4 linked regions of the Saccharomyces cerevisiae S288C genome follow. The protein of the gene in region 2 interacts with the protein of the main gene of each other region in a biochemical or structural test. Each region holds a gene or a part of one and is shown on either strand. Other genes may lie near its edges.

Region 1 (4,778 bases), on a different chromosome or scaffold from region 2:
GATGAATGATATCTAATTGTTTCTCGAAGAATAACTTATATAACAGTAGTATACCGATGTAAGGAAAACTTCTTGGCTATGTAAAACTTTTTGAAAGTTAGAGGAAGAAAGTATTATACATTCAAGAGAGATGAGCTTTCCAATTTGAAAAATTTTTCAAGAAAAAGAAAAAATTTGAAAAAAAAAAAAGAAAAATATAATAAACATATCATTTTGTACGCAAAAAGTTAAGGAATTATGAAAAGGGACTAAGAGCGTGAATTTTACAGAACGGAGGACAGTAAGATTATATTCTATTTAGCTATCTAGAAACCAATTGAGCTATTTGAGAGAGATACATATTTTGAATTTAATTTGAAAATGCCTATCACCATAAAAAGCCGCTCTAAAGGGTTAAGGGACACTGAAATTGACTTATCCAAAAAGCCTACTTTAGATGATGTTTTGAAAAAAATCTCTGCTAATAACCACAATATCAGCAAGTACAGGATAAGATTAACCTACAAAAAGGAATCTAAACAAGTTCCGGTTATTTCAGAATCGTTTTTTCAAGAAGAGGCTGATGACTCAATGGAATTCTTCATCAAAGATTTGGGTCCCCAAATTTCATGGAGATTAGTCTTCTTTTGTGAGTATTTGGGTCCAGTCTTGGTTCACTCCCTTTTTTATTATCTATCTACCATTCCCACAGTTGTTGATAGATGGCACAGTGCTAGCTCCGACTATAATCCATTTTTAAACAGGGTTGCATATTTTTTAATTTTAGGACATTATGGAAAGAGATTATTTGAAACCTTATTTGTTCACCAATTCTCTTTAGCTACTATGCCAATTTTCAACCTGTTCAAAAATTGTTTCCATTACTGGGTTCTAAGCGGTCTCATTTCATTCGGTTACTTTGGCTACGGCTTCCCCTTTGGGAATGCTAAGTTATTCAAATACTATTCATATTTGAAATTGGATGACTTGAGTACATTAATTGGTCTTTTCGTGCTTTCAGAACTATGGAACTTTTATTGCCACATTAAATTGCGCCTATGGGGTGACTATCAAAAGAAGCATGGTAACGCTAAGATCCGTGTCCCATTGAATCAAGGTATTTTCAATCTTTTTGTTGCTCCCAACTATACTTTTGAAGTTTGGTCTTGGATTTGGTTTACTTTTGTGTTCAAGTTCAATTTATTTGCCGTTTTATTTTTGACTGTTTCAACAGCTCAAATGTACGCATGGGCTCAAAAGAAAAACAAAAAGTATCATACCAGAAGAGCATTCTTGATTCCATTTGTATTTTGATCCTCCTGTTTGCAACATGCCCAAATGCAAGGTAAAGAGATATTAGCTTTCACGAAGTGGCGTAGTAGCACTATTGTTTAAGTATCGTCTGCACCTGTGCCTTTTGGTATTTGGCACTATCTTAAGCGCATGCCACCAATTATGCTAAACCGTTTCACTTTAAGAAATTTTTATTTAAATCTTTCACTATGCAAATATGTAAGTACTTTTAAAATTCTCTTTCCAAAGAAAAGGAAATTATTTCAGACTAGCAGTAATTTATCACTTTGCTATTCAGATATTAGGAGAACATCCTTATCGAGCAAATCTGCCTCGCTTGAGCTGACAACGTCATCTTCGTCAGTACTCTCGCCATCCAGTAAATATGTGTTTTCATTCAATTCATTGAAAAACGGGGTTTTCAGTAAATCTTCTGCTGAACTACGCTTTTGAGGATCCATTTCGAAGCATTGTTCCAAAACCTGGAAGCACCAATAATGATCGGACCAAATTTCTTCTTGATACTTTTTCAACTCATAGGCATCAACAGCATCCATATTTGTCTTGGGGTCAGGTAATTGAGGTTCAATGGACATCCTGTCATGTAATTCTTGTTGTAGAAATCCGAATGTTTCAAAAGCAACACTGTACTCAGGGAACGTACCTATGGTACATTCTTTATTAAGCAAATCATAAACAAATTCCTTCAATCCATTAGAATATCCGTTTGGTTTATCCCAAATGAGCCCACTAGCTTCGAAACCCAATCCATGCAACGCTGCGCATTTTCTTAATTCTTTCCAACCAAAAATAGTACATAACTCTAGCAAAGAATCCGCATCATCTAAACTTTGGAACATTGGAAATCTTCTGCCCAAAAGACTTAAAAGAATAACACCTACGGACCATATATCAATCTTTGTGCTTTGAGCCCCACACTTCATTAACACTTCTGGTGCCCGAAATCCACGAGTCCCTGCTCTATTAGCCCTTTTAATTCTACGCGTTTCATTTTTAGGATAACCCTTTGTCAGATCCACCCCATTTACATTGTTTAAGTGGACGACCTTGCCATTTTGTATGGTGACCATAGGAGGTGTTTGGTTATGTGAGTTAGGAGAATATTGATTACGCATAATGCATGGACAAAATTGTTCGTGATTCCTCATTGAATATCCACCATCATGGTTTGTATTTGCATAATTGTCGTAATCGTTTTGACTAGATATCATGCTTTTATAATCCATTTGAGCCTCGGCTAGACCAAAATCAACAAGCACTCCACGCCCCAATTCCAAATTAAATAAAAAATTTGTCGGTTTGATGTCTCTATGAATAATTCCCTTCGAATGAACAAACTTCAATGCTCTTAGTAGCTCCCAAATGTACTTCTTGATTCCCTTGATTGGTAGATCCCTGTAGAAAGTTCGGAACTCCTCGTGGGGATAGTACGGTAAAACAGCAATGACTTGATCTCGCACCCTTTTTGCATCACATAGAGGGGCTACTCTCGAAGATCCCGTCATTATGTACAGCAGGTTGAGCTCATTATAAATTCTTTGCGGTGACGAGGTAACGTATATTTTCTTCAAAGCAACATAGTTCGAACCATAATTCCAAAAATGTGATGCAAATTTTTTTGTTATTTTCCCAGTGATATCTTTGGCTTTATACACTGACGAAAATGTTCCCTCACCGATCTTGTCTATGAGTTTATATTCATTTTCTATACCCGGTAGATCATGATAGAGCTGTATCATCTCTTCTTTGATTTCTGGAGGTATATCATCGATATTCTTCGTTTTGCTTGTCATTATGATTGTTCTACTTCGAAACTGCCTCTTTCCTAAGAAAATTAGATAATAGCACAATTGTTATTGAAAATTTAAGGTAGTCTGTTACTTCCCGTTACGCCTGCTGAGCGGTTTTTTTTGTTAATGGTTCTTGCATTGATTTTAGGCGGAAATGTGAAGTGCTCTTCTACTCACTAAATTGATGCCGTTCAAGAAGACGCCCCAGGGCAAAGAAGACATAATTTAAAAGCTGACCGGGGACAAATGTTTAAGATTTATGTAGGCCTAAGGCGTTTATCGAGCTAAACGGGAAGTAATTTTACTCTATAAAATGTCATCTACACAAGCATTGCCCCATTAGATTCTTAATTATCTTCAAAACCAGGGCTACACCTTAATTTCCCAAGCTAAAAACATGCTTATATAGAGGTTTAAAAAAAAAGCGTCGTTCGTTGATAAAGTTTACGAACGTATCAGTATGATCGCGTAGGTTTCCACATACTACTTAGACTTCCTACACTGTCATGGTCATTATGTCAACAAAGGTGAGACCAACGCGTCCTGACCTGAATTTTTCTCTCTTTAAAACAGAACGCGTTCTTCATAATCCTCTCCTCAATGAAAGAATTTGGGGGGACAATATCTTGACAGAAACTGGTAAGGCTCTTGATAGTTACCGTACTTGAAGGGACACTGTGAACTGACTAAAAAACTCCGTCATGTCCAATTTATGTGTACTTTTCTTCCAGTTTTTTTTTTTAGCACAATTTTTTGCTGAGGCATCACCGTTGACATTTGAACTGAATAAAGGTCGAAAGGAGTGCTTATATACGCTAACTCCGGAAATTGACTGTACAATCTCATATTATTTTGCAGTACAGCAAGGAGAGAGCAATGACTTTGATGTTAACTACGAAATATTTGCTCCTGATGACAAAAACAAGCCAATAATCGAGAGATCTGGTGAACGTCAAGGTGAATGGTCATTTATAGGCCAACATAAGGGAGAATATGCTATCTGCTTTTATGGTGGTAAAGCACACGACAAGATTGTTGATCTGGACTTCAAGTACAATTGTGAACGCCAAGATGATATTCGAAATGAAAGACGCAAGGCGAGAAAGGCGCAGAGAAACCTGAGAGACTCTAAAACCGATCCCTTGCAAGACAGTGTGGAAAATTCTATAGACACCATAGAAAGGCAGCTCCACGTTTTGGAACGTAATATACAGTACTATAAAAGCAGAAACACCAGAAATCATCACACCGTTTGTTCAACAGAGCATAGAATTGTAATGTTTTCTATTTACGGCATATTATTAATCATCGGAATGAGCTGCGCTCAAATTGCCATACTGGAGTTCATTTTCAGAGAATCGAGAAAGCATAATGTGTAAATAGTTGTGTATTGTTCCTGCATTTTCTATCAACTTGAGAATATATGTTCTTCATATTTAATAGGGGAAAGGAATGACATACCGTATCCAAAATAGCCCTTTTGCTCATGTTAAATCTTATGTAATGACAGAGCTGAAGTGACGTTTCTATTAAAGCACATGTCACGATTTAAAAAATCCTATTTCAAAATGTAGCATTGTTTTCTTCGAGAAATTGACAAAATAATCTTTGTAAGAGTAATTTTTTCTTAGCCATTGGCATATGCACCATGCAATTTCCACCTATTTAATTACACTTGCAGTCAATCAACTCGCT
Region 2 (9,828 bases):
GGCTCATATACACCATCCAAAAATCTCTTAATTAACCTATAACCATTGTTCTCCTTCACCTCATTCAAGAATCTGGCTTCTGAATTGCCATTGATAGAAGAACAGTACTAAATTGCGCCGGAATAATGAAGAACATCCGGGTTACCTTAGATGTCTTTTTTTCCTTTTTTTATCACATTTTTCACTCTGCACTTTTTCACTTTCTCGAGGTCCAATCTATGACTAATATTAAGCGCATTTCATTTGAAGATATGTGTATCGCAATCTTTTTTCTTATCTTGTAGACCCTCCTATACACATCTCTAGACTATATATTTGGTTTGGTTATATCTTTAAGAACTTATTTCTTTTTCTTATTTTTCCATTCCACTAAGTTAAACCCTGCAGTTGATACAGACATTGAATAGGACAACCGATCGTTACTATCATGACTTTACCTGAATCAAAAGACTTTTCTTACTTGTTTTCGGATGAAACCAATGCTCGTAAACCATCCCCATTGAAAACCTGCATCCATCTTTTCCAAGATCCTAACATTATCTTTTTGGGTGGTGGCCTGCCATTAAAAGATTATTTCCCATGGGATAATCTATCTGTAGATTCACCCAAGCCTCCTTTTCCCCAGGGTATTGGAGCTCCAATTGACGAGCAGAATTGCATAAAATACACCGTCAACAAAGATTACGCTGATAAAAGTGCCAATCCTTCCAACGATATTCCTTTGTCAAGAGCTTTGCAATACGGGTTCAGTGCTGGTCAACCTGAACTATTAAACTTCATTAGAGATCATACCAAGATTATCCACGATTTGAAGTATAAGGACTGGGACGTTTTAGCCACTGCAGGTAACACAAATGCCTGGGAATCTACTTTAAGAGTCTTTTGTAACCGAGGTGATGTCATCTTAGTTGAGGCACATTCTTTTTCCTCTTCATTGGCTTCTGCAGAGGCTCAAGGTGTCATTACCTTCCCCGTGCCAATTGACGCTGATGGTATCATTCCTGAAAAATTAGCTAAAGTCATGGAAAACTGGACACCTGGTGCTCCTAAACCAAAGTTGTTATACACTATTCCAACGGGCCAAAATCCAACTGGTACTTCCATTGCAGACCATAGAAAGGAGGCAATTTACAAGATCGCTCAAAAGTACGACTTCCTAATTGTGGAAGATGAACCTTATTATTTCTTACAAATGAATCCCTACATCAAAGACTTGAAGGAAAGAGAGAAGGCACAAAGTTCTCCAAAGCAGGACCATGACGAATTTTTGAAGTCCTTGGCAAACACTTTCCTTTCCTTGGATACAGAAGGCCGTGTTATTAGAATGGATTCCTTTTCAAAAGTTTTGGCCCCAGGGACAAGATTGGGTTGGATTACTGGTTCATCCAAAATCTTGAAGCCTTACTTGAGTTTGCATGAAATGACGATTCAAGCCCCAGCAGGTTTTACACAAGTTTTGGTCAACGCTACGCTATCCAGGTGGGGTCAAAAGGGTTACTTGGACTGGTTGCTTGGCCTGCGTCATGAATACACTTTGAAACGTGACTGTGCCATCGATGCCCTTTACAAGTATCTACCACAATCTGATGCTTTCGTGATCAATCCTCCAATTGCAGGTATGTTTTTCACCGTGAACATTGACGCATCTGTCCACCCTGAGTTTAAAACAAAATACAACTCAGACCCTTACCAGCTAGAACAGAGTCTTTACCACAAAGTGGTTGAACGTGGTGTTTTAGTGGTTCCCGGTTCTTGGTTCAAGAGTGAGGGTGAGACGGAACCTCCTCAACCCGCTGAATCTAAAGAAGTCAGTAATCCAAACATAATTTTCTTCAGAGGTACCTATGCAGCTGTCTCTCCTGAGAAACTGACTGAAGGTCTGAAGAGATTAGGTGATACTTTATACGAAGAATTTGGTATTTCCAAATAGAGAGGTAAATACGTTGGAAGAATATATATAAGGTGAAAAAAGGACGTACGTATTTTTGTATTGCTTAAATTTCGAAGTATTTTTTCTTTTTGTAAAAGACTGCAAGTGGAAGCCAAAATATAATATTTTGTTTTTTCATTAAGAGTACAACTTTATACAACAATTATAACTTGATTTGAGAGCCAAGTTATGTAAGATATTTTTCTCCCACAAAGAGAAATGCACACGATAGGAATTTACAACGTGAACGATACTTGAAACGAAATATGAAAATCCGCAAGAGTGCACTGAATTAGCTGGAATCCTGTGGTTCCAATTGATCCAAAACCTCACAGTTTGGATGAATAACATAAACAGTTTTATTATTTTCATTTTCCTCATTCTCAAGATCTCTTAAATTGTGTCTGGTACCATGAATCTCCATTAAAATCCTATCTTTGACCAACCTTTTTATGACTTTGAACGCTAATCTTCTCTCTTCCCAATATTCTGCTAACGAACCCAAATCATTTTCCTTCTGTAATAAATACCAATCAACTATATCCACAGCTGTTAGTTCTTCTGCACCCTCCCTATCTACTTCAGCAATCTTTCTAACGATCATGTTCATCATGGACACATATTTATCATACGTCACCGTTGTTTTCTTCTTCTCGCTTGTACCTGGACGAGCTGTAGCTTCGCTTTGTCCTTCTTCTATATCTGCTGGTGGCTCACTCGTAATTACACCTGACCCAGTCCCATCATCATTGTCATCATTGTTTCCAGAAGCGGCGTGACTTTGACTCTCTATGTTATCAAATTCTTCATCCATTTCCACATCATCCACATCAACACGAATAATACTTTGCCTTAAAAGATCGTAAGCTTCTGCAATGAATGATGGAGTAATTTCATCGACACAATTAGCCCTCGCAATAGCTTCTGATAATCTAATCATACTTTCAAGTTGCCTAACTGTGATTCTATAACTCGATCTACTAAATCCCTGGGCATCATCCTTTCTCAGTTCCTTATACTTCTCGACTAAATAGGAACGGGCTTCTTTCGTTAATATTGGTTTAAAAGTACGTGCATATTTGATATAACGACGTAGTTGTTCTGCACTAAATGGCGGCTCAATGGCTTCGTCTCTTTTCATGTGTAAGTCAACGATATGAGATGCCAATTCGGTATCAATTTTTTCGTTACAGTCATCAAGAATAACAAAAAATAAATCAAATCTGGACATGATCGGTGCGGTCATATTTAAATTACCCCTCAGTGATAGTTTCCTATTGTATCTTCCACCTACCGGGTTGGCAGCCGCTAGAATTGATGTTCTTGCATTTAAAGTAGCGTGAATACCAGCTTTAGCAATAGAGATGGTCTGTTGTTCCATAGCTTCATGAATGGCAACTTGATCTGAAATATCCATTTTATCAAATTCATCGATACAACAAATACCGTTATCAGCAAGCATTAAAGCACCTGCTTCAATTGTATAATCACCTCCTTCCTCATCTCTCACAACCGCAGCTGTTAAACCAGCAGCCGACGAGGCCTTACCGGAAGTGTAAACTGATCTTGGTGCAAATCCCACTACGTATTTTAAAAATTGAGACTTAGAAGTAGAGGGATCACCAACAACACAGATGTTGATATCTCCTCTTAACTTAATACCTTCTACAGTACTCTTATGAACACCACCGAGCATCTGAAGCAAGATACCCTTCTTTACGGCTTCATGGCCAAACACAGCTGGAGCAATAGATCTGACCAATTTATCATAAATATGTTCATCCTTTACCATTTCCTTCAGCTCATTTATTTCATCTGAACTCAAACTGTTCAAGAATACTTCTTGATCTCTTTCATTATCTTGGTATACATTATTAGCTTGTAAATTAGCAGCCATCTGTAGTTCAGTTTCTCGGTTGTTAGAATTTGCATCAGGGCTACTTGCACCAATGTTTGATCCAATACTGATAACATGGCATGCCAGAAAGCTAATCTTGTATGTCAAATCACGAACACCAAGAGAGCGTAAACCAGTAACACCACTATTCAAACCTTCAGTAGTCTTCGAAATACCTCTAGTATCTAATGTTGAACTTGGCTTCACACCTGGTAGCCCCAATTGTGTAACATCAGGTACTACAATTTCCACACCCGTAAATTTGCAACGGTCACCTGGCTTGGCTCTTTCGACACTATCACCTCGAAGAATGACGTCCAGCGTACGCGGCATGGAGCCTGTAGGTATTTCGTTAGCATTTTCTTGAATTCTGACTTTTTGCCAATCAAGAAACCTGGATCTTGTAACATTTAATGTCCAAAAGGCTCTATTTTCGCATGATGGGTTCGGGCAAAATGTCGGTTCAGTGTACTTGAAGGACTGTTCTACGTTATCTACGATAGCACGGCACATATCACACGTAAAGCTTGCCTTGTATAATTCTGGACGGACCTCAGATGTTCTTGTCACTGTCCCTGATATACTCAATAGTGAACCAATCTTTTCAGATCTTATATCACGAATTCTGTGAACTGTTGGTAGATTGAAGAAACTGATTTGAAAAACACGTTCCGTCTGTTCAGGTGACGTAGAAGTTGTTATTGACCTCGTTGCCATGGCAGATGTCCCATTCCCTGGTGCGGCTGATGATCCAGAATCTCTTGGTAGACTCGACCCATTCATATCATCGTCCTGTTGCTCATCTTCATCCGCTTGACCTTCGTCACCTTCGGATCTCTTCAATGAGTCACTTGTGTTTAACAATTCAGGTGCATACTTTCTTACTACTCTTCTTAAACCCTTTTGTAAAAAAGGCAAAAATCTGTAATATTGTTCTGAGATAGCCATAGCTAGAGCACCATTTTCTCTCATGGATAAATGCTGATAATCTATATAAATGGTGTTTAGGTCATATATTTTCATAAATTCAATTTGAGCTCTATAAACTTTTTCAACTTCACCAGTATCAGTGGATTGAACGGAAAAGTCTTCCAAAAACTGCTCGAACGCTTCACGGACTTTTTCACCAGTAACGTCATCAACTTTCTTAACGTGATTCAAAGCTCTACTTTTGAAGCTTCTGGCAGGTTCATTTCCCTCCATATCATTAGTCGCGGAACCATCGGTTTGCAACCTTTGAGAACTAAACTGAGTGGAATCGTTAACAAAAGGGCCTGTTTGTGAATTACTGACATGCGGTTGAGAAGAACTTGGGAAATGTAACCTAGAGCCTATTTGCGAATCGAGTCCGCTACTGCTTCCGAAGCCAGCACCTATCGACGATGGTGGCGGAGAGGAGTTGGAAGGTCTATTACTGCTTGGTGTGTCAGCTGGAAAAGGGGATGACATTGAAAAAAACCAGTTTTAACCTTTGGTAAGTCTATTTTTCCTATCCACCGGTGGCGAAGTGTAAGATACTCGCTGTAAATCACTTAAGAATGAAATATTTTGTTATTATTGTAGATTAAAGAAAGAAAAAAAAAAAGCTTCAAGAAAGGCCTATTAGGCGCTTTTCCTAAAAAGGAAATTTAATAGACGAACTTAGATGACAATACCAAATAGCGAAGGAACGGCAAAAGAATAGGTACACAAATGTTATGAGAACTGGAATCAAAACAAGCTATTGTTTGTCGACGAATAGTAATGTTACTAGTATATTATGTGCGGTGATAATATGATATAAATCGCGAAAAGGGTAAACCCAGTAAAAACTGAAATGCAAGATAAATAACGTAATGGGGTGATGTATGATATCGTATAAAACACAAGAAAGGATAACAGCACTATCATGCAAAATTGCTTATTTCTGGTATATTCTGGATTCCGAATGACACTTCCCTTACTGGAAAATCGAATTCAAGTGACCATTTAAATGGTCACCTATTTCTCAGGATGACCGCTAATTCTTCTCATCAGGGTTTCCCAAGTTGTTAGCAAACTGTATTGATATCTTTTTGCGGGAGTGAAACCAACTATTCAGCTCAGTATCGGATTAATCTCTCCACTTAATGCTACGGAGTTCTTCCAAACATTAGTACTGGTGCCAGTATCAGCACCACATCAACAGGTGAACTCAAAATTACATTAGTCAGGAGCAGTACACCCGTTAATCGTGGGAATCTCTGTACTGAGGGTCAACTACGTATCGCGGAACTAGGGGTCCACTAGTGTATGCGACTGCGATTCATATAACACTTTAACGTCAAAACCGTATACAGTCCTCATCCGCCTTGGGGGCCAGCATATTATATATAAAAACTCCTGAAAAACACTTACCCAGAGGTACGATAATGAATGACGCTTATGTGATTTATGGTTAACGCAGTACCCAAGACAAGTATGCAGCGTTAACTCCCAATCAAAGAAAATATAGTGGATTCTAATCTGACGAACTACGGACAGTAATTGGTATTTTTACTCATTAGTGACTTTGGTAATGCCCTATATTTCACTAGAAGGTGTCACAGTGTCACAAATTTTACATCACAGTTCCCTTTCGTAAGATCAAGAATATGGCTGACTATAGTGGACATCTTCTTACACCGTATATAGTAATATATTGCTAATATGAGCACTAGTTGATTCTTGTTCCAACAGTATATTCCAAACATGTGTTAATCACGCGTTGATACAATGTGGCTCGGCTACAAATCAGTTATTAACATCGTGAGCTATGTTTCCCTGAAATGGGGACGTTTTCCAACGAATTAGCCTTGTTGGCGCAATCGGTAGCGCGTATGACTCTTAATCATAAGGTTAGGGGTTCGAGCCCCCTACAGGGCTATTCTTTTTTTGTTCTATATGAACAGAGCTATTTCCCTTCTAAGAGTCCCACATAAAAGTGCTCTGGGGAAAAACGGACCACAGCATGTCCTGTGGTACTTGTTTCTTTCAAGTTTTTCGTATGTATTTCCCATTTTTTGATTCGCTACAACCTGTATTTGTTTTATGGCGCGCCTGGACCATATATATGTATATATTTATTTACATGTAATTGGCACAGGGAAAAACAGTGGAAGGATCAAGGTAAAAAGTATGAAACCGAGAATTATTCGCGACTTCAGGTTATCCAATCGTGTATGTAATCGTATGTAGGCAAAAGTAAATAGATATGAACTACATTTTCCTGCTTTACTTAGACTAGAGATGTGACCTCAAAGAATCTTCTCAAGTAGTATATCTGGAAAAGAGAGTTTGCAATAACGACGCCCAATTGGAAGATGGACCACCATTTAACACGATCGTTGGTCGACTCTGCAGTATTTCTATGCGTCCTTTCTCTAATAACAATATAACTTTGTTCGTCCTTGACTTCCCTGGTTAATTTGGACAACTTTCTGACAGCACTATCCAATGTATTGGTGTTTGGGTCGTCCAAATCCACATATACCACCCCATGAATGTTGAAAGTCACGTCTTTTGTCTCGATACCGGTGTTCTCGTTCAAGAAACAGTATTGGAAATGTCCCTTGTATGGAGCAGACAATGTGATTTCACCGTGCGACGTGTCCCTAACCGTTTTCAAAACTTCATGTCTTTCCGGCCCGTAGATGATAAAGTCACCAGTCAGCTGGCTACTGGATTGAGGGTTTCTATCACCGAACTGGAACGAAATGGAGAGCTCGTCACCCTTACTCAAGTCTTCGAAGAAGCATCTACGGCCATAAGCTGGAAGAAGGACATTATGGGCGGACGCCGAGAAGAACAGGAAGCAAGCAATGACAAACTTAGTAGCAAATGAGGCCATCCTTATGCGTGTGTATTTTTGTGCGGAGGGATACTATTAAGATTGCAGTTTCACCAAGTATAGCTTTTTATTTCATTATAAGTTTCGTGTCAAAATGTTTAAGCGACCCGATCTCTCAGGCTGTTTTGCACGACTTTTCTGACTTTCCTCGCGTCTTTTTTCATGAAAATTGGATTACCCGGAGTGATGATTTTCTCACAGTGATTTTTCGTCCCCTTTTACAATAGCAAATGAAGCTGTTTTAGCAATATTTGTAGAAAGATATGTCACAAGAGGGCAGGCAAAATGTCATACGGAAGAGAAGACACTACGATTGAGCCCGACTTCATAGAACCAGATGCACCTTTGGCTGCTTCCGGGGGTGTTGCTGACAACATAGGCGGAACTATGCAGAATTCAGGCAGCAGAGGGACGCTCGACGAGACTGTGCTGCAAACACTAAAGCGAGATGTGGTGGAGATTAATTCCAGACTGAAACAAGTGGTATACCCGCATTTCCCCTCATTCTTTAGCCCCTCTGATGACGGGATAGGGGCGGCTGATAACGACATTTCAGCCAATTGCGACCTGTGGGCGCCCCTTGCGTTTATCATATTGTATTCTCTATTTGTATCGCATGCGCGGTCGCTGTTCTCGAGCCTATTTGTGTCTAGTTGGTTCATTTTGCTGGTGATGGCATTGCATCTGAGACTCACCAAGCCACACCAGAGGGTGTCGCTGATTTCGTACATCTCCATTTCCGGGTATTGCTTATTCCCACAAGTGCTGAATGCCTTAGTCTCGCAGATACTACTTCCATTGGCCTACCATATTGGAAAGCAAAATCGCTGGATTGTGAGGGTCCTGTCGCTCGTGAAACTGGTGGTCATGGCGCTGTGCCTGATGTGGTCTGTGGCCGCCGTTTCGTGGGTTACCAAGAGCAAGACCATTATCGAGATATACCCTCTGGCACTCTGTCTTTTTGGCATGGCCTGGTTGTCAACTATTTTATAACACTAGTTACATATGTATAAAACCCAATATCATGGACATAGAATTGCCTATCTCGCGAGCCACGGCAGAAAGTTCTGAAAAAAAAAAAAAAGAGGACGCTCACAGGGGCTGGCGTGTGGCTAAGGCAGACTCCGTGGAGTGTAAGAGAAGTTCAAAGCAAGATTAGGCTTTCTGATGAATTGGTAGCGCAGAGTCTGGCAAAGTCTATTTCAAGTTCACAGCGTCCGTTTACCACAATTGTTTGAGAACTCTTCTCCTTCCTGTGCCTATAGCCACACTTGCAAACATTACATGGTGAAGGCGCTTTAGAGACTTTTCTGTTTTACTATATATATAAGATAACATAGCGCGCGTGCAAACCAAAGGACAAGTAACAATCTGCACCTGCTTTAGCGTAGTATGCCTTTATTACAACCATCCACTTGCTTCTGCTACCCTTTGAAGCTTCCGCCATTACCACTGACTTCCGATTCCAACGAGTTTGATGAATGCGCCAGGAAAAGGTTAACGCTGGACTATAGAACAGGTTCAGCGGTGACGCTAACAAGGTCTAATATATTTGTACATGGTGGTCTAACCATCCCGTTGAACCTGCCAGTTGTAAATTCTATGCAATTACAAAAGGAGCTTATTCTCTTTTTTGCAAAGGAAAAAAACAACGGTAGTTCTTTTAGGAATTTAAACGAGTGGATAAGTAAGGAGACGTTTTTCTTAGACTTGATGTCTAGAACCTGGTACAGAGTCAAGACCTCCTTTGACCAAAGGACAGAGGAATTATTAAAGGCAGAGAGTTCTAGCGCCAAAGCAGATAATGACACAAACGAGATTAGAACGGACATTAAGAAAGGTAAATCCCTTGAATCTCCGCTCAAGGAGAGGCTATTCCATTCCTTATGTTATTTAGATGGCTGTTTATATATATTTGGTGGTCTCACAGTGTCTCCTCAGAGCGGATATGAGTTGATTGCTACCAATGAGTTGTGGAAACTGGATTTAAACACGAAGAAGTGGTCGCTTTTGAGTGATGACCCTCAAATAGCGAGAAGGTTCAACCATACCATGCATGTAAAGAACGAAAATAACGATAATAGAGACACGAAATTAATAATTGTCGGAGGTCTTAATAACATGGATCAGCCGGTCAAGAAAATAGACATCTAT
Region 3 (8,715 bases), 180 kb from region 2:
TTCAATTAGCGTCCTTTACTATTAAATTTTGCTTTTCTTACTGGCTTTAGAAGCAGCTACCTTTCCCTCCAATTTATTCCAAAGCTCATCTGCGTCTTCTTCAAGTTCTGTAACCTTCCTTTTTTGCTTCCCTTTGGCAGCTTTCGCACTTGGACTTAGTGGCATCTCGATTTCAACGTCATCCAGCATAACAATAAAATTTATACGGGACCCAACATAAACCTTCACCAGCATTTTGTTAGTTTTTATATCGAAGATCCGAACATACCTATCTAAACCACCTTGTAAAAGATATTTGCCGTCATGTACATGAATATAGGTTGACGAACCAGTGATATCATCTCTACCCACCTTGCCCAACATTCTTCCATTACCATCGAATTTAAAAACATTCTTTTTGTAGTCAGTAGTAATCACATTCAGTTCATTAAAGGTTTCAGATTGAAAATTCCCCAACGAAGAGACAACATTTTCTCCCTTGGCATCAAAAACTTCCATCTGAGATAATGGTTCACGGTTAGGTAATAAATCTATCTGAGCGAACGGTTTTCTGCCATGTTGTGTGCTGTATTTGGTGAGGTGGGACCAACGGGTTATGGCTGCAAACTGGTAGTTCAGCTTACCCTTTTCAGTTTTACCAGGGGAGGGCTCCAAAAATCTTAGGGCCATGGGCCATACTGGGACTCTCATATCCAACCTGTCGTTTTTAACATTCTTGGCTTCCCAAATTTGCTTTAAAGATTGGAAACTCGAATCTATTTCCACTAATTTTATTAAATTCTCCTCCCCTCCGTATGCAAATATATATTTATCAGTATCGGTATCTTCTAGATCATATAACTGAAGAAATTCTACTGGTGCTTTCAGTCCAAGGGATGCTAGTTTTATTAACTTTTTATCTTCTCCTTTTTTTATAATATGTAATAATCCCGATTTGGTAGCAGCTACGAATGTGTTATTCGACGAATCCTTTTTTATGGGACATAATGTGACAAAACCATCCACCAACTTGGTTCTTTTAACAGATTTACTTGAAAGTGATTCCAATTTGGCATCATCAAAAAGGTCTGAAACTGAGCTGGTTATCTCAAACTCGGATATGTCAAATTTGGGTAGATCATCGGAAAGGCTCTTTTCATTTTTGCTTTCTCCTTTGGGATCGACCTGGAGAGCTTCATTTTCTTTAAGGTGTTTCGAAATCTTTACAAGTTCGACGACCCCTGAATTCCTTGCTAAGATGGCTTCATCTTCGGATATCACCCACATCCTGTCAACGTAAGCTTTCAATCCTTCGGCTAGATGAGGTGCCACATGAAAAGGCTGCAGTGCTGATTGTACGGAAGTGTCAGTCCCGATGTTACACAAAACTTCCTTTATGGATCCACTATCCACACAGCTGACTAGTAACCTCATTTTACGATCGAAGCTGGGCCTATTTATGGTTAAATTTTCTCTGTATTATGTTCATTGAAGTGAGGCTTCGAGATTGGGCATCGCTTTACAAAATTTTTCAGCTTTATTTTATTACCAAAAAAATACCCGGAAACCATCAATAACAAACACCGATTCAAGTAGCAGCAAAAGTAGTTCATGAGCGAAAACAATAGATTGGCTTTAAAAAGGAAGCAAAGGACGCCTCAGTGTAGTTGATAGCCTGTTAAAATGTCTACACAGCAGCAATCTTACACAATTTGGTCTCCACAAGATACTGTTAAAGATGTCGCTGAGTCGCTTGGGTTGGAAAATATCAACGATGACGTGTTGAAAGCACTTGCTATGGACGTTGAATACCGTATTCTAGAGATTATTGAACAGGCAGTCAAGTTTAAAAGACACTCTAAAAGAGATGTTTTAACTACAGACGATGTATCGAAGGCCCTGCGTGTTCTGAATGTGGAACCTTTATATGGATATTATGATGGCTCTGAAGTTAATAAAGCTGTATCATTTAGTAAGGTTAACACAAGTGGAGGACAGTCGGTTTACTACCTGGATGAGGAAGAAGTAGATTTTGATAGATTAATAAATGAGCCATTACCGCAAGTGCCTCGTCTACCAACTTTTACTACACATTGGCTAGCAGTTGAAGGGGTTCAACCTGCCATAATCCAAAATCCAAATTTGAATGATATAAGGGTATCCCAACCACCATTTATTAGAGGTGCTATTGTCACTGCTTTGAATGATAACAGCCTCCAAACACCTGTAACGTCGACGACAGCAAGTGCTTCTGTGACGGATACAGGCGCCTCTCAACACCTGTCTAATGTTAAACCAGGACAGAATACTGAAGTCAAACCTTTAGTGAAACACGTTTTATCCAAAGAATTACAGATTTATTTCAATAAGGTCATTTCAACCTTGACAGCGAAGAGTCAAGCTGATGAAGCTGCACAGCATATGAAACAAGCAGCTTTGACTTCACTACGAACTGATAGTGGCCTGCACCAACTGGTTCCATATTTTATTCAATTTATTGCCGAACAAATCACACAAAATCTTTCCGATTTACAATTGCTAACAACAATTTTGGAAATGATTTACTCTTTACTAAGCAATACTTCTATTTTCCTGGACCCTTATATTCATTCGTTAATGCCTTCCATTTTAACCTTGCTATTAGCAAAAAAACTTGGTGGATCACCAAAAGATGATTCGCCGCAAGAAATTCATGAATTTTTAGAAAGAACGAATGCACTACGTGATTTTGCCGCATCTTTGTTGGACTATGTATTGAAAAAATTTCCTCAAGCATACAAATCCCTGAAGCCAAGAGTAACTAGGACACTGCTAAAGACATTTTTGGACATAAACCGTGTTTTTGGGACTTACTATGGGTGCTTAAAGGGTGTATCGGTACTAGAAGGTGAATCCATCAGATTCTTCTTAGGAAACCTAAATAATTGGGCGCGCTTGGTATTCAATGAAAGCGGAATAACTCTAGACAATATAGAGGAACATTTGAACGATGACTCCAATCCAACTAGGACCAAATTTACTAAAGAAGAAACTCAAATCTTGGTTGATACTGTAATTAGTGCATTGTTAGTTCTAAAAAAGGATTTACCAGATTTGTACGAGGGTAAAGGTGAAAAAGTTACGGATGAGGATAAGGAAAAATTGCTAGAGAGGTGTGGTGTCACTATTGGATTTCACATTTTGAAAAGAGACGACGCAAAAGAATTAATTAGTGCGATATTTTTTGGCGAATAGTGAGAATCGGTTTATACTAATAGTACAACGGTAATGTTATATAACAGTTTTTACATACGCCATTGTATGTATATATATATATATGCATGATGAGTTATTTAATTGTATACTCAAAGGCCCCCGAAGTGCGAAATTGTTGTAGCTTAGTTTTATTTTATTCCCTTTTCGTCCAAGAAAAGCTACAAAGATGGAGTTGGGTCAACTACTTGCCAGCGAAGGTGGTCTCGCAGTTTCTTATTCTATGTGGATTCTGGAGCAAATAAACGTCTTCTTACTCTCCTTTTTGAGCTATTTTCCGGGGGCTTATTAGTGGGAGTAGAGGTAATATTGGAGGTATTTTTTCTGCCTTCATGCGTATCATCATCCTTGAAATTTAGCGGCGATTCAATGATGCTTTGAAGTTGCGCCTTTTTATTAGGTGTCACAGTTCTTTTTTTCACAGCAGGAGTGGCTTGAACTTGTACGTTTTCCTCAGAGTCTACACGTTCATGTAGGCGTATCGTTTCATTGATATCTTTACGTTTCCCAACTCTGCGAAAAGAGTTATTCATAGTTTTGTATGCATTAATAGTTGAGTGCGAGAAAGGCGTTTTGAGTGTGATAGTTGATGAATTCGGTACTCTTGTTGTGCTTAAGTCAGAGACAGAAAACTGCCGTTTTTGTAAATGATTCATCGTTAGATCAGACTTCGTCCTTCCCAATTGTGAAGGGCGCTTTAAGCTTCTAGTTTCACTTTCGAGAAATTCATTCAAGTTAGAGTTCGTTCTAGAATTCAAAAGTTCAGGGGTGGGCGAAGCTATAGATTTTCTGCTGAACAAATTAGCGTCCACCCTTCTCAATGCGGGTGAAGATGGGACGGAATTAATGATTGAAGAGCGAGAGGCACGTTGACTCGTGGATAACCTGTTATACGTTTCTACAGTATTAGGTGACGATACATTTGTGCTATCGTTGACCTTTTTCAGGGCTCTCTTTGGTCTCATGCTTGGTCCCTTGAGCTTTTGAATTATAAATTCAACGGCGTGTGGTACCTTTTTGTTGAAATATGGAATAAGAACATAATTTATGAACCCAACCAATGAGGCTTCTTTGCTTTTGTCTAGGATATTTTTTTTATGCTCTTGTATTGTTCCATTTGATGCTTCTATGGCATCTGGGTTGGGCGTTTCACTTGATAGTAGAATGTCCAAGATGCATGCTCTATCTAAGTACAAGTCTAACTGTTCACAATAATCCAAAGATGTTGTTATTCTCTCGATTCCTTTGTCTTTTTCGCTGGTTTTTTTCTTCGATCTTCGACGAACTAATCCCTTTTTTGTCAAATTAAGTGATCTTTTCTTCAATTTTAATTTATACTTTTTCTCAAAATCTCTAAAATTCCAATCTAAATCGTTCAATCCTATTATCTCTAATAGCAATAATATTTGTAGCTTTATTTCGCGGGATTTTAATACAACACATAAATCAGCAATGGTTGAGCTGTTTTTGTTTTCATCTTGGATAACAAATTTTGTGAGACAGTTCTTCCTTTTTTCATCTGCTATGGGACTAGAAAAGGGCTCTAATAAAAGCCTGTTATCATGTCTATCTTTGAATTGTACAATTGAGAGAAGAAATTTTTGCAGCATGGCTTGATAGGCTATTTTGTAACTGTCACTTCCGTACTTGGTTCGGCAGGTATTTTTGAGCCTTACTAAATTTGACTTGACGAAATATGCGAGAGGCGTATGTATGGAAAAAAGAGCATCATAATACTTACTTTCTATGTACTCTTTAGGGTCTGAATAGTAGTCATTAATTTTTGATTCGCCTTTCATATCTGGGGGATTCATATCCAGTTTAAGGTCTTTGTCCTTCTCAAGCTTACACGAGCCCTTGGGTTCTTCTGACCATAAATGAAGAAGCTCTTTAAATTTCAATTCGTCCCATGTTTTTAACGTTTCACGCTTAGCTCTTTCTCTTTCAACTGTCGTTACAACTTCCGTACGCCTTTCTGGTAAGCTGTAACCATTGAAATAATTGTACGGCCACTTAACCCAAAATCCTGGCCCATATTCCTCTAGTAGAAAATACTCTTTTCTTGATTTCATGCAGATGTGTTTCAATTGACGTCGATTCTTCTGTTGCAGTAATTGGAGAATGTTACTGGGCACGTCCTCGGATTTAATAATAAGTGGATGATCTAAGCTCAAGTCAAGGCCTTTTGTTGCTTCTTTTACCGATGCTATGACTTCCCATGTTTCCATTATGAGAGGTCAGATCGTTCCTACCTATACGATCTTAACCCTTCAGCAGTTATGAATGAGGCTTCTGCCTGTTTTAACAGTGCCCATCACTTTTTTTTATTTTTCTTAAATGGACCATGTTGTACACCAAGATAGCCGATATTTCAAGGTCGCGTATAATATAACATTTTGCCTAGGATTTTTGTCACCTAGAAATATATATACAGGGAAATCTAAGACATCGAATTATGTGATGAGTAAATAATTTAAAATTTGTAAACTTTGTAAATTCTTTATTAGTAAAATATTATATACCTAATAGTGAGGGACATTTAAGCAGATGAAGAGCATGTTTATTACGCTAAAGATACCTTCACCTAAGACCAACCCCGAACTGAATACAATCATTTTTGTTTTCGCATTTAAGTCACCCCTATGATTCTTCAACCAAAAATGCGAAGCCCACCCGCCGATGAATCTTGCAATTGTAAAACTGGGAGAATTAAATATACCAACACCGACTGCTACACCAGACGGAATATATAATATCCACCCGTATCCGTAATCTCTATAAGTGTTTCTGATTAATGATAAAACGGCAAATATGACTCCGAGAATCATGGAGCACTCCAAGGCCTTATCAGGGAGCCCTTTACCAGTTACTAGTCTTGCACAATCTATCCACACTACTGCTGTCGGTATCCTGAATTGCTCACTCGGAATTGAATAAACTTTATTGTAGCACAAATACATGAAGCTAGACAAAATAATTGACCAACAGGCCCCTATCAATTGGGCACAGAACTGAGCTCTTGGGGAGGCGCCGAGGAGGTGCCCCGTTTTCAAATCCTGCATTAAATCGCCCGCCTGTTGGGCAGAGGCTTCTGCAATACCTCCCGATACCACGTTCATTAACACTGATCCAGGTCTATCCCTTGGTATGATAAAGGCAAAAATCAATTGAGAGATCTTACCAATGCCGCTCACAGGATTCAGATCGGTCTCTCCAAGTGCTCGAATACCGAGAATAGATAGAAACAACGCAAGTATCAAAGCAGTGATAATAGCATATAGGGGAATTACTTGTATCCCAAACAAATATATTATGGAAACAATGCATATTATCGAGGAGACTAGACATCCACTGATAACGGTGGTATAGCGAACCAAATGCTTCGAATCTACTTCTATTTCGTTATCTCTACTCACTAATCTTACGGTGTCCTGCCTTCCATCAACATATGTATTTCTTCTGCTGCTATTAATGGCGCGTTCCTCCTCCAGTAACATAGATTGAAATGTATCATCGATTATGTTGTTCAGTAAAGCAGCTTTGTCATCTATAAGAATAAATTTCACAATGGACTTCACTGTCACAACAATAAAAGCGACTACACTGTCAGCAACCATTATTGAAAGCGACGACCAAAGAATCCATCCTTGCACTCCCTCCTCCCAGTCGTGGACATCAGCATCTGGTGGTACCCATCTTTTGTATCTCGCCAATGGTGCTAACACACCCCAGCCTAAGAAGCACCCGATAAGCATATACGATACTGTTGGAAGACCCATTATTATCCCTTGGCCTATATACGCAGGCGACGGCTGAAAATTCCAGAGATAATTGTTCGAGAGGTATTTTCCGAAGACTGGAATAGACCGTATTACCGGTACAAAATATGACACCATGGTGTAAAGCGAAGAAACAACAAAAGTTTTCAATAAAATAATAATATTCGCTCTGTAGTTCTCAGAGCCAGTAGAAAGGATAGAACTTCCATCTTGGCTAGTTGCCGTATAATCACCAAGTTCGCTATGAGAAGAGTTCATTAAATAATCCGCCTCCTCTGGATCTCTGTTGGGTTGTAGCACTTCAGGGCATTCATTCAATCTCCTCTGCCTCATTTCCAATAACTCTGACTTAGAAACCTCTTGTAAAATCTCAGTTCCATTTAGCACTGAAATTAAAGTGGCCGTGGCGCTACCACTGGGGAAGGGAAGTTTCTCTCTAACAATTACTTGCTTTCTTAGAGGAACTGCAAAAAAAATACCGAAGAATGCTAGGGCTGTGGACCATATTAACAATTCTCTAAAAGTGAAGGACTGTCCTTGTTCCCTTAATCCACCACTTTCGTCGTTAGTAAGGAACTTCTCGATGGCAGGTATGACGCCGACAAACCCAAAGGCTAATGGGCCTGTTCCGACAGCTACTGCCATACTTTGTACGTATACATTTTCAACGTCACTGAAAGGCCTGTCGTTCGGAAATATTAATGGCCAGATATTTTTAAAGAAAGCACAAGCTAACAATGCCGATGGCAGGGACATCATGGAAACCCAACCGGTTTGCAGGCCAAATTGAAAATTTGATGTTAGCACCAGAGACCCTATAGCGATACCTGCTATGGTTGCTCGGAGTGTTATCTGCTTCAAAGCAGGTTTATTATCCCATGGTACACGCTGTACTTCTTGACTTGGAGTAGATTGAGGCATTTCAAAGTATTTACAGTACCGATTTAGAATCTTTAACGGTTAGTCCTCTATACTGTGACTCTTTTTCTTCCTATCTTGGTGCGAAAATAAAAAAAATGATGCCTTGAGATAGATCTCACGAAAAATACCTTCTACGGCGTTAAATTTACAGCTTTTCTTTAGCTGCCTGTACCTTTTTGATGAACTAATTTATTTTGGTATCAACAGACAATACTACAAAAGGCTTTGCATTATCTTCCTTCACCCTTATATGCAGCATTCCCCCCTCCCAGAGATCGCATCAGTATCATTACTAATCGATTTTTCACTTCGCTTTATAACCGAATTTCCGCCGAATTATACCCAAAATAAGCAAGATGAAAATATATTGGTCAGATGAAGTATGCATGACTGATTAATCATGACTTTATTAGTTGCATTTATTTATAGTATGTACACAAAAATCTCATCGGCTCGTTTCAGTTGCTACCTAGAAGGATATATTTGAGAATATCGCTTAACGTCAAGACACCAACCAACCGTCCGACGTCATCAACTACAAAGAATCTATGCACCCTTGCTTTTCTGATGTTATCCATAATAGTAGATAATTTATCATTCTTAGTGCATGTATAAACACCCTCAAAATCATCACTTCTCCTCATAAGGGCTTCTCCGACGCTCAATGACAGGTCGTTGTAGATGCCTCCTTTTATCAAGCCTAGGACATCGTATGCTTCATATACGTTGATTAAGTAGCCGTTTTCGTCAATAATAGGGACGGAAGAAACCCGACCTTGGGTAA
Region 4 (8,519 bases), on a different chromosome or scaffold from region 2:
CGTAAACTATCGCAAATTGGGATTAACAAGCCAAAAACAGCCAAGCAAGATTCACGAAACCGCGCCTCGTTTGGACCCCGAAGGCCCATTTAACGGCCGGCCGTTACAAGCAAGATCGGCAGAGCAAACCACTCCCCAGCACCACAGCACATCACTGCACGAGCAACAATAACTAGAACATGGCAGATAGCGAGGATACCTCTGTGATCCTGCAGGGCATCGACACAATCAACAGCGTGGAGGGCCTGGAAGAAGATGGTTACCTCAGCGACGAGGACACGTCACTCAGCAACGAGCTCGCAGATGCACAGCGTCAATGGGAAGAGTCGCTGCAACAGTTGAACAAGCTGCTCAACTGGGTCCTGCTGCCCCTGCTGGGCAAGTATATAGGTAGGAGAATGGCCAAGACTCTATGGAGTAGGTTCATTGAACACTTTGTATAAGTGTTTGTTGTTTATGTATCCGCATATAGCAGTTATAACAGATAAATGGCACTTTTCGCACACCCGTTGTTTTATCTCCGATAGTACGTGGGCCTTTATTTATGGTCGTTTAACGAAAGAACGGCATCTTGAATTGAGCAGGTATTTAAAAGATAGGACGAGAAACAAGCACATGATCTGTGTCGAAAAAAAGTAGCAAAGAGAAAAAGTAGGAGGATAGGATGAACAGGAAAGTAGCTATCGTAACGGGTACTAATAGTAATCTTGGTCTGAACATTGTGTTCCGTCTGATTGAAACTGAGGACACCAATGTCAGATTGACCATTGTGGTGACTTCTAGAACGCTTCCTCGAGTGCAGGAGGTGATTAACCAGATTAAAGATTTTTACAACAAATCAGGCCGTGTAGAGGATTTGGAAATAGACTTTGATTATCTGTTGGTGGACTTCACCAACATGGTGAGTGTCTTGAACGCATATTACGACATCAACAAAAAGTACAGGGCGATAAACTACCTTTTCGTGAATGCTGCGCAAGGTATCTTTGACGGTATAGATTGGATCGGAGCGGTCAAGGAGGTTTTCACCAATCCATTGGAGGCAGTGACAAATCCGACATACAAGATACAACTGGTGGGCGTCAAGTCTAAAGATGACATGGGGCTTATTTTCCAGGCCAATGTGTTTGGTCCGTACTACTTTATCAGTAAAATTCTGCCTCAATTGACCAGGGGAAAGGCTTATATTGTTTGGATTTCGAGTATTATGTCCGATCCTAAGTATCTTTCGTTGAACGATATTGAACTACTAAAGACAAATGCCTCTTATGAGGGCTCCAAGCGTTTAGTTGATTTACTGCATTTGGCCACCTACAAAGACTTGAAAAAGCTGGGCATAAATCAGTATGTAGTTCAACCGGGCATATTTACAAGCCATTCCTTCTCCGAATATTTGAATTTTTTCACCTATTTCGGCATGCTATGCTTGTTCTATTTGGCCAGGCTGTTGGGGTCTCCATGGCACAATATTGATGGTTATAAAGCTGCCAATGCCCCAGTATACGTAACTAGATTGGCCAATCCAAACTTTGAGAAACAAGACGTAAAATACGGTTCTGCTACCTCTAGGGATGGTATGCCATATATCAAGACGCAGGAAATAGACCCTACTGGAATGTCTGATGTCTTCGCTTATATACAGAAGAAGAAACTGGAATGGGACGAGAAACTGAAAGATCAAATTGTTGAAACTAGAACCCCCATTTAATATATCTCTGCGTACATATGTATATATATATATGTGTGTATATACATGTATGTCTGTATAGAAAACGCATATCAACTGATATATATACACGTGAAGCAAAAAAGGCATTGCCTCTGTCAGAGAAACGAACTATCCTCGTTGCTATAGTGTCTTCTGCACTTATCGCGTAGACTTTCTATTGGCACTCTGTCATGGCATTTAATCTTGTACACATTCTTTAATTCTTCTTGCAAAAGAAGGTACTCTTCATGCAAATGATGACTTTGGAGTGAATTGACTAATCCTGAGTCGTTCCAGAAACTTTTTAAGGCGTTCGTTTCATGATTTATTATGTCATCCAACCGTCTCATATTAGGTTTCGAATTTGTTACAAATTCTCGCCTTGATAACCTCTCCAGGTCTTCTTTGTTGCATCCAGGTACACTCTCTAACAACATTGAACCATTGCCCTCCGGATTCGCACTGTCATATTTATTAGCCTCTTCGCCGCACATGATGTCAATATCGGGTCGATAGCTGTCTATGCCGTCTAGATGGCCCACCTTATGAAACACAAGACAATGTGCTGCCCTTTCGGCTTTCAAAAAACTGTCAATTCTACTTTCCCTTAGCGTATTGCGCTCACAAAACGGTGAATAATCGTATTGCTTTTCTTCCTCGATGTGGCTCAAAGTATTCAGATAGTCGACTTCGTCTACGTCCATATTTATCCCATAGAGATCATCTGCAGTCCTCTCCTCTAGTACTTCGCCTGTTATGGGCATCGAATCATCATTTATTACCCTTGTCGACCTTTTCCGTAGCGGTGTGGTAAAATTGTTAAAGTTGGCTTTGTTGAACCTTGGTGTTTTCCAGGGCGGCAATGACGGTAGTTGAAACAACTTGCCTTCGTTCTTATCACCATTTTGGTTCATCTTACTTTGTCACAGCTATTTCTTTCCTTCCTGAATTTGTCCTTCCAAACCTAGTTCCCTGTTCTTAATTTCCTTTTATTTAGGTTTTTTTTTTTGTTTTGTCAAGAGCCGCGCACAAAATATGGTATTATTATAGAAAAGTTGGACTTAAAAGCTTGAAAAAGCTTAGATTTTATATTCATATGCTGGTATATATGTACGACTAAATAATATAAATTTGATTATAACAATCCACTCAAGGTCAGCTTCTCCAGGAATGGTGAAAGATCTTCACGACGTATTTCAATTATGGAACTTTCAAAATTATCTATTCTCACTTTAGCATCCGTTTCTGCAGTTATTTGTTGAAACGCCATGCTGAAATTATTCAAAATAGGTTTTTTTGTGTGTATCGTGTCTAGTCCGCGAGGATACCTAGGTGTTAACCCAGCAACCAAGTAAGTGTCCGTATTTTCATCTATGCTGGCAAGCACCATGGGCAACAATTGCTTGTCTTCAGATTCCGCACAGCATTCTATGAGCCAATTTCCTAATCTTAATAACGTCAATGGGTTTCTGTACAAGTCTAAATCGGGTCCGTCTTGTAAGACGCATAATCTATAAATTCTTAAATGCTTGATTAATTTCTTCTCCAATATAGCAACCCCGGTATTAAAAATTGCTCTCTGTAAGTCTTGTGCTAGTTGAATGCCACGGTTTAATAGTTCCACCTTTCTGTCATCTAGAGCATCCCAACTGAGCCAAAAATTCGAAACCCATCTTTTTCTCAAATTCGTCAATTTTTGAGCGCTGTTATCTTCTTCTTCCTCTCCATCTGTATCGTCATTATTGTCATTATTTATTTTCACACTATCCTTATCAGTTGAATTACCTACTTCCAAAAGAGCTGTTAGTGCTTCGACAAATTCACTGGCACTTATGGACCCACGATATCCAAGAGTTCTAACAAACCCATCTCTAATTATATCTTGCAACCCATAACGATCCAAATTTTTGTCAAATATTATCCCAAGTTCTCTCTTAATAGAATGATCCATGTATAACCATGTTTCTTGTGCAGTACTTAATGGTATACCCATTCTAGCAAACATCTTATGCAATCTCTTTTTCCCATTTTCATTCCATAGGGATAGTTTGGCATTGACATAGTTAGAATAATAAAAACTGTCGTACAATGAAGAATGCCTCAGTAAGAAAAGGTAGTAATCCGGTTGGATGTTTAACGTCAATGTATCAGGGGTCTTTACTGAGTTTCTACTGCTTGGTGTGAGACGCTTCACTTCATCTTGCAATAAGGGGTATAATCGATTGTAAACTTGAGCATATGCTATATCTAACGAGGTCGTACCAAGTATATTCAACCACAGGTTTGAAAGATTTGTTTCTCCGATAGCAGACAATAATGAATAGATTTGTGCAGATATCGAGTTAACCACTGTTGTGCCTTGAGAATAGTATTCCTCCAAAACACCTTCATATTCATGGATTTGCTTCTTTCGTTGCTTTCTTTTTGAGAGATCATTCGGTCCTATTGAAGAATTACCTCTTTTATTAGATATTGTCTCATCTTCGTCTTCTTCGTCCTCGTCTGTGACTTCATCGGCATCAGTTGCCTCATCGTCACCCCCATTATTATCGTTCTCGTCACCTGAGAGCTCATCGTCACCACTCTCCTCGTCCAGTTCAAGCAATTTATAGTATGCTTCTTTTTGTTCGCCTAATGTGTCATCCACCGTACCGTCGTCAAAACATTGGATGATTTGTGATCCAAATATATTGTCGAGATTCCACGGTCTATGAGCATCCAACACGTAGATGTCTCTCCTGAAACTTTGTTCCCCCGACTTTTCATCTGTATCGATAACATACTCTTGGGGATCGATTTCTAAGAAAGCCTCCAGATCAATAACGCCTCCAAACCCTACTAATAGCAGACTATTTATATTGTCATCCAATTGAGAATAGTGGCGTCGTAATTCAGAGTACCCAAATATCGGTACTATTTGAGATTGTACCAATTGTTTTTTGAATAATAGTGACAACATCTTCGTCGCACACAGCGCATCGATGTTAAGACAAGAAACGAAAATGACCAATTGACATGATGAATGAGACGATGAATTCCTTAAGATTTTGTTGTAGGCTTCGCTAAACTGGCTGATTCCATAATACATGTGCGAGAGTATATTCTTGTTATTATGTGCCTTCTCTCTAGTGTTTATTGCTACACTTTTATTGCTCTATAGTGCGTTGTATAAAGTAGCCACAATGGATTGTTGGCATTACTACAGCTTCATTATTTACTGAAATTTCTTAAAACGCGTTAGATGATATGTTGAAAAAAAAATACGCGTCGTGAATGAAACTTATTAGGTTTTACGACTAGTTAAAGCAAGAGAGAGAAGATCGAATTGACTAAATGTCTTCACTTTGAATTTATTCTAGTAGGATTCGCATGGCTTTTTCATAATAAAAATCTCGTTTATTTATGCTTTTGGTTGGTTTTCCTTTGATAAATGCGGCCCTTGCTTTGTTTGTGGTTGCAACGAGTTCGTCAAATGATAAATTGACGCTTAACACAGACGCATGGGAACCACGTAATTGAATTAATGTTTTCTTCTCGAAACAATTGCAATGTGACTTTCTTGTTAGGCAATGTGAGATGAAAGATGGCCTTTACCTTTGCAGATGTTTGGGTGTGGCTCTGAGCTGTCCTTTATAATTATAGAGATAATTTTGATGAAAGCTCAGAAGACCTTTAATGACGAAAAATAGGCATGGTTTGCCAGGCAAAAAACGACCAAATTTTACTGTAGTATGAGTCAAAGTCGCTGGAGTATCGTTCTCATCTTTGCATTGTTTATTTTTGGCAGCACTGGAGTGAATGCCTTCTTCAATTTCGGTCATCATCAGCAACAGCAACAGCAACAGCAACAATCATATGAAGATCAAGTTTTAAATAACCCTTGTGATGGGTATTTGTGTCCGGACACCCTAACGTGCGTTGCACAGCAGAAAGACTGTCCTTGTCCCTTCCCTAAATCTCAGTTGAAATGTGTCCTTCCTGATAATAAATTTGTTTGCATATCCAAACCAGCCACACACAATGAAAAGTTTAGAGCAATATATGATGACCCTGTCAAGGGCCCCAAAGCAAAGAACAAGGGGTTTAGGGATTGTGGATGGGTATCAGATGCTTACAAAAACCATTGAAATCTGTATAAAAAATACATACACATACATATATACATACGAAGGATTTATCTTCTCATTGATATTCTAGTCTCTATTTCTTCCGGGAACCCATCTCTTATACAATACTTCACCAACTTGAAAACTATTGAACAATTTAGTAAAGTTGTTTGATTTCCATAGTGCTATCGCCTCCTGTTCCGAGATTAGTCTCTCCACGTAGCATAACACAAACGTCTTCTTTGCGCCGCCCACAACACGGGCTATGCTAGAATACCACGTATAATCTTTAGAGACGTCGTGGTCAAGACCCATAACACAAAATTCAGCGTGTTGAAATGGTGGCCCTCTCTTATATAATAAATAATCGCAGCCGAATTTTATACCAGATCTTACGCACCAACCGTGTGATCTGTAGTGATGGTATATAACGTATGATCTGACAAAGGAGTGAATATCTTTATATTTGGCATCGAATTGAAACAGTTTCCCTGCCAGGCACGCGGGAGATATGTCAAGAACAGGAAGTGCAAAAGTTAAAAACATAGCTTCCACTGGCATTAGTTCTAGTGACTCTAGTGGCAAAAGATCACCGTTCTCATCAAGAAGATTGTTGTCTTCATCTCTTAAATTTGATTCGGAAATGTCTTGCTGTTGTGCAACGATGCCCACGTCTTCTGTTTGTTTTAGTTTAAATTTTCTTAATGATTCTCGTTGTTTCTCAAGGAGGATGTTTTCCTCATCGATATGACCACCTTTTTTTCTTAATTCTAGTAATTCTCTTTCTAACTTCGCACGTTCTTTCTTGAACTCTAATCTTTGTAATCTCCTCTGTTGTGTGACCTTCTCTAAAGTCATCTCCGTTTCAGTATTACTCTTTGTTCCTCCCCGATTGTGGAGGGGAGTATCATTGAGACCCAGTCTGGCCTCTGTTCTAGCTTTCCATGTAGGCTCACTCCTGCTAAATTGACCAGTGCCAAAAAATCCATTATTCCAAAGATATAGCATTTGCTTGTCATCTTGAACCGTGATGTGAAGAGTGGTATCTCCTATAAAATCTACATGTACTTTATCGTTCAGTGCGTTCGTACTCTTGTAATAGCGGTATGCCCAATATAGCCAAGATAACGGATTATGAAGGATTAACTCTGGAAGGTCATCTACGGGGTGAATTGGAAGAGGATACTTGTAACGCTTCTGATTGACCCTCCCTTTAGACATGCTCCTTCTTGAGTCCTTCGTACTTATTGTCTTTTCAGCGTCGTGTTACAATGAAACGTTTTAGCATATTGAATTTCGATGGAAGTTCAAATGTTTTATGCACCGAAATGAAATACTAGAGCAAAGAGATGTTAGTGAAAGCACCAGCTAATATAGCTCTTTCAAATTTACGTGAAAAAGTTATGTGTGGCAATATAAATCTATAGCAAGAGTGGCTTCTATAAAACATTTTTGACAAGAAATAAAATTCAGATACCGTTGTAGTCTTGAGAAATCATTGTGCTCACATCGATTAACTTCGAGCAACATAAATCATGCTATCATCATTAAAATAAAGTGGAAGTATTAAGAACAGATATAATAGCACGAGAAAAAACTCGTTCAACTAAGTCTAGACACACCTCCTGGTGTTATTTAGTCCGTTCTCTTAACAACCAAAGCCTACGAGCTCTCAAACAGCTCTTTTGTTTTAACTTCCTATAGAACTGAATGGGAAACTTGCATCTTGAAGAAAATTTTTCTCTTTAAATATCTGACTGAAGTATTGATCCCTTCAAAAAAAAAAAAAAAGAGAGTTGGTTACCCATATGGGAATAATATTTCTTAGGGCTAATTGACAAAGGATTGCTAACAGAAAATGCAAAGGACTAATAACTTGAATCATTTTTATATCAGGTTTATATAGGTATACGTTCAGTCTAATTAATAATTTATAGTTTACAGTAGTTTTTTACAGTAGTTTTTTTTTTTTTTTTTCAGTTCCATGATTTTTTTGTTCCTTTGATTCGTGTAGTAAACCTCCTCTTCTTGGTTTTCACGATATACTTAGCTGGATGCCAGGTCTGTAAAGTATTGACGCAAAATCAGTGAAAGCATTTCGGGTAGTTCGCTTATATCGTGTACAACAACATAAAATTCAAAAGGAAATGTGTCCAAGTATTTGGTAATCTTTAATTGCGGATTGCCATACTGATCTGGAATGTAGTTCACTTGGCTCATGTCTAAGATGGATTCATTAGAAGTAATACCATCTATGATGACAAAAACCAGCATAATTTTGTTTTCTCTAGCACGGCGGACCAGTTTTTGTATTGTTTCATGGTCTTCGCAAATACCATCAGAGATTACAATTTCTAGTTGCCATTGGTCATTATGTACCATAGCGCGAGCACGTTCAAAAATTTTAGTAGATTCAGCCACAAGTTTCTTAACGTCTGTTTTAGTTTCTTGGAAACCAAACCATTGAAAAGCTCTTGCGCCAGATTCGTTACTAAATTGTTGGTCAAATGAGTGAACTTCTTTAATATTTTCACCGAATTTGACAATAGATAACCCTCCAGCCTCTAGCTGAGTTAACGTCTTGGAGACCAAGCATAAACTATCAAAAGCGAGTTTAACGCATTTAGATTCGCTCATAGACTTAGAATCATCAAGCGCAATCATTATTTGATACTGACGTTTGCTTGGTTTAGTTCTTCTCAACC

What was found.
Region 1: of the proteins of MCM6 (region 2) and CDC7, one has a biochemical effect on the other in vitro, tested with the Saccharomyces cerevisiae proteins (7 studies listed by BioGRID).
Region 3: the proteins of MCM6 (region 2) and SLD3 form a complex in vitro, tested with the Saccharomyces cerevisiae proteins (4 studies listed by BioGRID, with this or other methods).
Region 4: the proteins of MCM6 (region 2) and CDC45 form a complex in vitro, tested with the Saccharomyces cerevisiae proteins (5 studies listed by BioGRID).

Annotation. Positions count from the first base shown.
Region 1 is NC_001136.10:422,517-427,294, reverse strand, and holds CDC7 (serine/threonine protein kinase CDC7), read right to left. Parts: upstream 3,087-4,778; coding exon 1,563-3,086; downstream 1-1,562. Other genes in the region: trans-2-enoyl-CoA reductase (NADPH) TSC13, read left to right, coding at 361-1,293; ERP3 (Erp3p), read left to right, coding at 3,785-4,462. UniProt on the Saccharomyces cerevisiae protein: Serine/threonine-protein kinase. Needed for the initiation of DNA synthesis during mitosis as well as for synaptonemal complex formation and commitment to recombination during meiosis. Required for HTA1-HTB1 locus transcription repression.
Region 2 is NC_001139.9:115,632-125,459, forward strand, and holds MCM6 (MCM DNA helicase complex subunit MCM6), read right to left. Parts: upstream 5,277-9,828; coding exon 2,223-5,276; downstream 1-2,222. Other genes in the region: ARO8 (bifunctional 2-aminoadipate transaminase/aromatic-amino-acid:2-oxoglutarate transaminase), read left to right, coding at 428-1,930; EMP24 (Emp24p), read right to left, coding at 7,063-7,674; YIP4 (Yip4p), read left to right, coding at 7,960-8,667; MDS3 (Mds3p), read left to right, coding at 9,067-9,828. UniProt on the Saccharomyces cerevisiae protein: Acts as a component of the MCM2-7 complex (MCM complex) which is the putative replicative helicase essential for 'once per cell cycle' DNA replication initiation and elongation in eukaryotic cells.
Region 3 is NC_001139.9:292,676-301,390, reverse strand, and holds SLD3 (Sld3p), read right to left. Parts: upstream 5,460-8,715; coding exon 3,453-5,459; downstream 1-3,452. Other genes in the region: ribosome biosynthesis protein NSA1, read right to left, coding at 22-1,413; TATA-binding protein-associated factor TAF6, read left to right, coding at 1,663-3,213; YGL114W (uncharacterized protein), read right to left, coding at 5,754-7,931; AMP-activated serine/threonine-protein kinase regulatory subunit SNF4, read right to left, coding at 8,390-8,715. UniProt on the Saccharomyces cerevisiae protein: Required for loading and maintenance of stable association of CDC45 with chromatin during initiation and elongation of DNA replication. Also involved in temporal regulation of origin firing. Required for the association of PSF1 with origins.
Region 4 is NC_001144.5:341,146-349,664, forward strand, and holds CDC45 (DNA replication initiation factor CDC45), read right to left. Parts: upstream 4,797-8,519; coding exon 2,844-4,796; downstream 1-2,843. Other genes in the region: MIM2 (Mim2p), read left to right, coding at 180-443; ERG27 (3-keto-steroid reductase), read left to right, coding at 665-1,708; APC9 (anaphase promoting complex subunit 9), read right to left, coding at 1,825-2,622; LCL2 (Lcl2p), read left to right, coding at 5,440-5,835; tRNA splicing endonuclease subunit SEN2, read right to left, coding at 5,902-7,035; REA1 (AAA family ATPase midasin), read right to left, coding at 7,861-8,519. UniProt on the Saccharomyces cerevisiae protein: Required for initiation of chromosomal DNA replication. Acts at the origin of replication. Also has a role in minichromosome maintenance.